Linked DNA regions of Arabidopsis thaliana. The protein of the gene in region 1 interacts with the protein of each later gene in a pairwise test. Each region holds a gene or a part of one and is shown on either strand. Other genes may lie near its edges.

Region 1 (3,632 bases):
TTCTACCTTGGGAAGATTCGTCTGCATTACAGATGTATCCATTGAAGACTAACGTTCATGGACACTCTCCGAAGGACCAACAGTTTACAAAAAATAATTTCTCAGCTCTTTGGCTTTTGAATGTGAATTTATGTATCAATTTTACAATAATTCGATTATTTTTCACCTGATTGATTTTTCGCGAAACCCTAAATGTTAGAGCTTGGGAAAAGGGGGAAACAGATAAATAATGATGGTGTTGAGGCGAATCGGATCGGATCCGGATTCGATTGTTTGCGATTGACACGGCGGAGAAGGAGATGTTAGGGATACTTTTGTAATCTACTATCGATGGTCGGTATTCAGCCACGTGTCAGCTACTCATTCGTGAAACTCCTAGACGAAAATGTTGCGTTGTGCTTTGTGAAACAAAACTAGTACTATGTGTTTGGTTTTTTGTTTATATTAGGGAAATTGCACTCTATATACATATAAAATTATAAAATTAAGTATTAGAAAAAACTACTCTCGAATCTTTTCTCTCTATCATGAAAATACCCTTATATCTCTATACCATATTTGCTTTTGACGTTAAATATTTTGTTACCTTTTAATAATAATGTTATCATCTTCCCATAATTATATAATCTTTAAAATCAAATCGTTGGTTCAATAGCTGGTAATTTGTTTATATCGTCAATTGTATTATTAACATGTTAAGTAGGTTTGTACCCTAAGTTTTTTCATCCATATATCAAAATCCTATCCATATTTTGCTAACAATATTATCCCGATAATACGTTATCTATTAACTATTCTGATGCACGTATTTTTTCTACATGATTATTCAGTCGCAAGTCAACTTTTATGGTATTCATGTTAAATATTTTATTATCTTTTAATAATAATGTTATCGTCTTCGCATATATATGTCTTTGAAATCTAAACATTGGTTTAATAACTGAAAATTTGCTTATATCGTCAAATATATTATTAACATATTAAGTTGGTTTGTACACCATGTCATTTCATCCATACATCAAACCCCATCCATATTTCGCTAACAATATTATCTCGATAATGCGTTATCTGCTAATTATCAGAGTTTTACCATATCACTTTGTAGGGGTATATTTGTCATATAGATTTTAATTGAAAAGAGATACCTAAATAAATGGTATTCATGTACAGATTCTTAATTATTTGATGGTCCATGTATAGATTTTTAAATCACCCTTTATATTATTGCTTTGTCTTTTTTTTTTTTTGTGAACATTATTGCTTTGTCTCTATATCTTTCATATTTTCACAAATGCAGTATGCCATATCATTTTGTAGTTACAAGAGTGTAGAGTTACTATGACTATGAAAAACAATTAAGTAAAATTTGCTTATTATAACTTTTAAGATATAAGAAATCAAATTACTTTTTCAAGGAAGCACAAAGCATAATAACGAAATCGTTGGATCCAATCCAACAACACTCGTATCGGATTTTTTTTTGGATATTTACCACAACAGCTAACAGTAGTAAAAGTTGTATCTCCAAATGAAAGCACACTATTAATATTTCAAGATTATCGAAATTTGAGTATCAAACAATTTAACCGCCAACTCTTGTTCTTTTATTAAAACAATTTTTCAGTTCATCGCTATCAACGTTTCACAATCTTACGATTTAATAACATCATTTCTTAGATAATTTCTTTTGTTAGTATTATATGATATCATATCATATCATATCATATCATTGATATCATATCATTAACCATCTCATGATTACCATTGAAAACAAATGGAGTCTTTTGTGAGACAAAGGTAGGTTCCTAAAGGATAAAGTGACAATTCCCTAAATTTCTTTAAACAATCAGAGGAAGAAATAATGATCACTTCAGTTGAGAATATTTTCAATAAATCAGATCGACAATCCTAGTTGACAACCAAAAAAATAAACGACAAACTTATGAAGGGGGTAACTTCTAGAGAAAGATTAAACTAGTACAACTTTACAAGTAGTTTTCAACCAAAGCTTAATGATACTAATATTTCCTTAACAAAAACAAGCATCCTTAATTAGTGGGCTTCACATGGATTTACCAAATTCCAAAGCTTTTTATAGATTTTTCAAAGTGTTTTATTTTTTCAAATACGTACATGCAAAAACCAATGCTTTTCCTTTTCTCGAAAAAATTTAGTTGCAGGTGTAATTATGTAAGTGTGAGAAAACAAATAAAGCTTTCTTGTTTGGTTCCTCTGACTTCCTCTGATTTCTCTCTCTCTCTTTCTCAGACTTGTCTCAAACTTTTCAAGAACTCAGATTCGTCTCTTTTCAATCTCTCTTCTTAAATCAAGATCCAAACATCGAAACTTTGGTTTAAAGATTTGAATAAGTCATAACTCAAAGATCCATTAACATCAATGGATAACGACACAATCTCGACTTCTCTTTATAACTAGCTCTGTCTTTGTTTTTGCTTTGAATTAAATAAAGTTTCTATAATGGTGGAAAAATCTGATGATGAAAAGCATTTTACTCGGTGTTGCTTTCTTTCACAGCTGTCACTGCTGTTTTTTCTTGTAACCCTAATTTCATCTGTAGCTTTCCTCTGTTTCTTGAACTCTCAAGGAGTCTCCTCTCTCACAATAACCATGGCAATCTTGTTCGTCTCCTCTTCTGTTTTCTTGTTACGAATCTTCAAGGAAAAGACAAGACTATGTTTGGCTGAGGGGTCCCAAGGAGAAGGCTACGATTATGAAGATGATGATGATGATGATGGTCTCATTGAGATTGATCTTGTGAGCGAAGAAGCAGAGACTATAGAGGCAATGAGAAACATTAATCAAAGTCGACTGAGAATTAGGATTGAAGAAGAACAAGAAGAAGATATTGATGATGTGAATATGGAAGAAGATAATCTTATTGAGATTGATATTTCCATTGGATCCATTAAAAGACGAATGTAATTTAGTTTAATAGATCTCATGATCACACCATCGTGTAATCCGATTTTTTCATTTCAAATGTACAAAGGAAATCCAACATTTTAATATATTATTGTTCTAGATATTTGGTGATTAGGGTTTAGGGTTTTAGGAGATATATATCAATCCCTTTTTATAGATGCATATATATATATATATATATATATATATATATATATAGTACTAATTAACTGTGGTAGTTCTTTTGCATTAAGATTGTGTAATAGATTGTTGACAAAAGACAAAAGATTGTGTAATAGATTCCTGAAAGGTTTTGTAAAACAAAACAAAAGAGTTGCAATTTCTTCGAAAGTACTCTCCGAGCATACCCCAAACTCCGCTAACTTATTTTCTATGCCAAAACACTTGTCTTTCTCTTATTGCAGAGTATATTTTTCTTCTTCTTCACTATATCATTTAAACATATAACTTCTTTTTACCAAATTTTTGGTTATTGAAAAACACTTTTCCTTTAACTTTACGAATCAATATACAAGCATAACTTATAATCATCCACCACACTAATCATCATGCACTTTGTTAATTGTTATGGCTTATGAGTCTTATGACTTAACATCCTTTTTAATCTGGTAAATCTAGCAAATAGGAATCCTCTGCAATCTGAATCTTGTTTCGAAATTTGAGAGTATGTTGATCTTGCGAAAATCGAA
Region 2 (4,749 bases), on another chromosome or scaffold:
CTTCTTATAAGTACAGGGCTTGATTGGGCTAAAGAACATGATGTGGATGGCTACACCGTGGATGTTGCTCTGGTCGAGAAGAAAGTTGCTTTAGAAATCGACGGGCCAACTCATTTTTCAAGAAACTCTGGTAAGTGACATCACTCTGTTTCTTAATATATATTGGTGTCTGGTGGAGCCAACCCAAACTTAATGATCATTTCGACTCTTGTGTTCTACAGGACTACCATTAGGGCATACAATGCTGAAGCGGCGATATGTTGCTGCTGCTGGATGGAAAGTGGTATCTCTGTCTCTTCAAGAGGTGGGTCTATAACGTTGAAAAATGGAAACTGATATAAAATTGAGTTGCTAGGATAAGAAATTGTCTCCATTTTTAGAATACTTGTTCTGTTCAATAGTAAAAAGATCTCACATGCTCTTGCATAATTGATATGTTTTCCCATCTCAATCAGGAGTACATACTGAACATGTGTTGACTTTGTTTTTATTATTTTTAGTGGGAAGAACATGAAGGCAGTCATGAACAGCTAGAATATTTGAGGGAGATTCTCACCGGCTGCATATAGAGAAGACAAGTAACCAAACATGTAATGTGTTGTCATTTTAAGGTTGTTAATCAAGTGTTCTTTTCCGTTATGTATATAGCTAAGATTCTTATAGTAGATTGATGATTTATGTTTAGAGCAATAATCATAATTGAAATCCATTTAAATTTTACAGTCGCCATTACAAATTTCTGCCAAGATTGTGTTCATAGTTATTTCGTATGCAACAGGAATCTAGGAAATATAGATAGAAGCAAACAATACATATTGAAACACTAGTGCTTGATCTGGGACAACATGGTCCTGACATCTTTACTGTTCGGCCTCTGTTTTGGATCATCCAAAGTACAGTAACAGGCGATCTTCAGAACCAGAAGCATCTGTTCATCGAATCCTTGATCCATCAACTTCGGATCAATCGCAAGGCTAGGATTTTCCGATGTTATTATGTTCCTCATCCACTTTATCAGACTCATCTCGTCAGTATGCTGAAAAAACTCATCTGAAGGAAGCTTCCCAATCACCAGAATCCCAAGAATCACTCCAAAACTATAGATATCACATTTATCTGTGAACTTGTGGGTTTGATAAAACTCTGGTGCTATGTATCCCACAGTACCTGCAACATGCGAGGTTGTAATATGTGTGACTGCATCTGGCATTGCCTTTGCCAGTCCGAAATCTGAAATTCTGGCTTCCATGTCATCATCAAGAAGAACATTGGCTGGCTTTAAGTCTCTGTGAATGATTCGTGGGTTATGATCCATGTGAAGGTACTCAAGCCCTGCAGCTATACCTAAAGCAATCTTGTGCCTCGCTGGCCACATTAGTTCTTGATTTCCAGCTTGTACGTCAGTCAATATATCTTGCAAACTCCCCTTTTCCATGTACTCGTAAACGAGGTAGTGGCACTCGGGTCTTGACACGTGTGCTAACAATGGGAGAAGATTCCGGTGCCGGATATGGCCGACTGTGTTGATCTCGGATCTAATTTGCCTCATTTTCTTGTTCAGAAACTTGGAATCTTCATCTGTTAGTTCATCGGCGTCTTTAGGCGGTTGGATCACTTTCTTCACAGCTATGATCTTCCCATTGCTTCCTGGTAGTTCAGCTTTGAAAACTTCTCCACAACCTCCTCTTCCTATGATCTCCAGAGAAGCTAACGCTTCTTCATTCTCCAAGAAAGCTAAATCTTCAGCTTTCTTGATCAATGGGCTGAATATGGAAGGACCTGGTGGTTTTTCTGATCCTCTTATTGCTTGAATAATCAATTTGAACAACACCGAGAAGACAAACCCAGAGATTGTTCCTCCTATGGCTCCAACGACAAACCCTAAGATCCATGCCGCTACTTTCTTCTTCTTGCTCTTCTTCTTCTTCTTCTTCAACTTCCCTGGTTTTGGAGCTCCCTTTGGAGCTTTTGATGTAGTGCTGTTGTTGGGTTTGTTCGTGGGACTTGAAGTTGGAGTTTCAGCAAGAATGTGTCTTGTTTGATGTGGAGATGTCTGAAGCTTGATACTGCTCATAACCGGAGCCGGACCTTCCAAATACCGGTTTCCGGAGAAATCAAAGAACCGGAGATTGTGGAACGACACAATTTGTTCCGGGATTTTGCCTGAGAAGAGATTGTTTGCAACAGAGAGATTCTCCAGATTGCGTAGATTCTTCAAGAAATTCAAGTTCCCGGATAACTTGTTCGAAGAGAGATCAAGGATTCGAAGACGGCTCAAACTAGAAAAGTTTCCCGGAATCTGACCGGAAAATCTATTTTTCCGAAGATCAAGAACTTCAAGTTGCTTACAGCTTAAGATATCCACCGGAACAGCGTTGACCAACTGGTTATTAGACAAAGTAAGTTCCTTGAGCTCCGACAACATTCCGATGACCGGAGAGATAGTCCCCGTCAAGCTCCTGGATCGGTAGACGAGCCTCGTGACACGGAGAACGTATTCTCCGGTGGTGGCAGAGTGCCGTCTCTCGCAGAAAACTCCTCGGCGACCGCAAGGGTTGACATCACTGGCCGAAGAACGTTGACTGTTGACTCCGAGCTCTGTTTCGATGACCTGAAGAGCTTTGAGATCTGAGGAATCGATATCGAGCCACTCAACAGAGGAGACGAATGAAGAGAGAAGAAGAAAGGAGAGAACGGCGAGGATGAGAGGCCGGAGAAAGAGATTGGCGCTTCCCGTGGGAACAGCCATTTTAATTAGAGAAAGTTTCTTCTTGTGGATGTTGTCGGAGTCTACACTCTGTCTATTTATGGTCAGCAACTGGTACTAATCTATTGAGAAATCTTTACGTGTTTCGTGGTTTTTTTTTTCTTCTAAAACTTTATTTTTGAAGTGACAAAATATATTTGACCCAAAAAAAATAAAGTTACAAAATATATTCACAAGTTAATTTCTTAATATTGTTATACACTTATACATATAATTGGTAAACTTAAATTAACAGTTTGAAAAATTTATGGTTTGTTCAAGGGATCCATCCAAGCCCCGGTTTCATATCGAAAAAATGGGGTTTTCTATTGCTAGTATTTTATTTGATTAGTTTGATATTAATGATAGATTACTGAATTCTTACATAAGATCTCCTAACAAAATTGTATTTTATATTATGATATTTAGTTATCAATGGTTTTGGAGAAACATTGATTCAGCGTATACTTTTTGAATTATTTGTATATTCTTAATAAGAGTTCTGTTTTTAATTAAAGTCTAAAGAAGAAAAAACCATTATAAAAACTGATAATCCTGACCTGTGAAATGGGCTAAATTGTACATTTTTTTTTTGATTTAAATTCTTCCAGGAAGTTTTATGGGAAAATAATAAAGTAGAAAATGTGAATATAGAAAGTTGCAAAACTGTATTATTGATATAGCGAATTTTGTTATTGACTTGACTATGTAAGCGTTGATAAGTCAAAGTCTACGCTGTGGGTTCCATAGTGAGCCACCGTTTCCTACACGTTAGAAAAAAATAAATGTTATGTTACACACACCTTCTATTTTCCAGTCACTTTCTTTTAGCGTTTTCCGTCAATACGTTCGTTGTCTGTATCAAGATTCCAAACTGGTGAGTGTGAAATAACTCGAAACTGGCTTTTAACTTAAAATGAGTTAACCAGATAGCTAACGAGGATGTTATTGCCACTAAACCAATACATTACCGATATGGTTCAAGTTCCAACTTCCCGGTTCTACAAAACCGGTTTGCCTTTCGCCTTCGCACTCTTGACTTTTTTAGATTTTTTACTCCGGGACTTGAGTATCTTCTAGCGGCAGCAGAATCTTGTCGCAGAAGCGATTCGTAAACCTGTTTCAAAAGCAATTGAGAACAGCTGTGAGATTAGAAAAATCGAAAAATGGAGAATCGCGAAGATCTTAACTCAATTCTTCCGTACCTTCCACTTGTAATTCGTTCGTCGTCGCTGTATTGGCCGCCGCGTGTGGTGGAGGCGTTAAAGGCAATGTCTGAAGGACCATCTCACAGCCAAGTTGACTCAGGAGAGGTTCTACGGCAAGCTATTTTCGATATGAGACGATCCTTATCTTTCTCTACTCTCGAGCCATCTGCTTCTAATGGCTACGCATTTCTCTTTGACGAAGTAATTATCTCTTTTTAACTTTATGGTGATTGCTTTTGGATTTGAGTGTATCTTCAAATCGAATTGAGTAGTGGAACTAAGTTTTTGGTACTCGCAGTTGATTGATGAGAAAGAATCAAAGAGATGGTTCGATGAGATTATCCCAGCATTGGCGAGCTTACTTCTACAGTTTCCATCTCTGTTAGAAGTGCATTTCCAAAATGCTGATAATATTGTTAGTGGAATCAAAACCGGTCTTCGTTTGTTAAATTCCCAACAAGCTGGCATTGTTTTCCTCAGCCAGGTATTGATACAAAGTGCTATCTCCTACATTTGAGCTAAAGGTGTTTTTTTGGTTCTATTCCTGACTCTTGAGTAGTGATTTATGGGGAGGAAATTACGTCGAATATACATGTGTTCTTACTGGATGATTACCTTGTGTGTTGAAGATATAGTCTCTATGGATTCTTGCTTTTCTTACTGGATAATGACCTTGTGTTGAATATACATGTGTTCATACTGGATAATGACCTTGTGTTGTTGAAGATATAGTCTCTATGGATTCTTGCTTTTCTTACCTGTCCGTTCGAACTTCAATATTGCAGGAGTTGATTG

What was found.
Region 2: the proteins of AT5G55650 (region 1) and SOBIR1 interact in a protein complementation assay, tested with the Arabidopsis thaliana proteins (one large-scale study listed by BioGRID).

The regions. Positions count from the first base shown.
Region 1 is NC_003076.8:22,533,882-22,537,513, forward strand, and holds AT5G55650 (uncharacterized protein), read left to right. Parts: upstream 1-2,190; 5' UTR 2,191-2,478; coding exon 2,479-2,943; 3' UTR 2,944-3,095; downstream 3,096-3,632. Other genes in the region: AT5G55640 (Na-translocating NADH-quinone reductase subunit A), read right to left, coding at 1-42.
Region 2 is NC_003071.7:13,552,920-13,557,668, reverse strand, and holds SOBIR1 (Leucine-rich repeat protein kinase family protein), read right to left. Parts: upstream 2,776-4,749; 5' UTR 2,750-2,775; coding exon 824-2,749; 3' UTR 692-823; downstream 1-691. Other genes in the region: RAP, read left to right, coding at 1-130, 222-304, 501-569; TEJ (Poly (ADP-ribose) glycohydrolase (PARG)), read left to right, coding at 3,913-4,155, 4,253-4,438, 4,740-4,749. UniProt on the Arabidopsis thaliana protein: Dual specificity kinase acting on both serine/threonine- and tyrosine-containing substrates. Acting as a counterplayer of BIR1, promotes the activation of plant defense and cell death.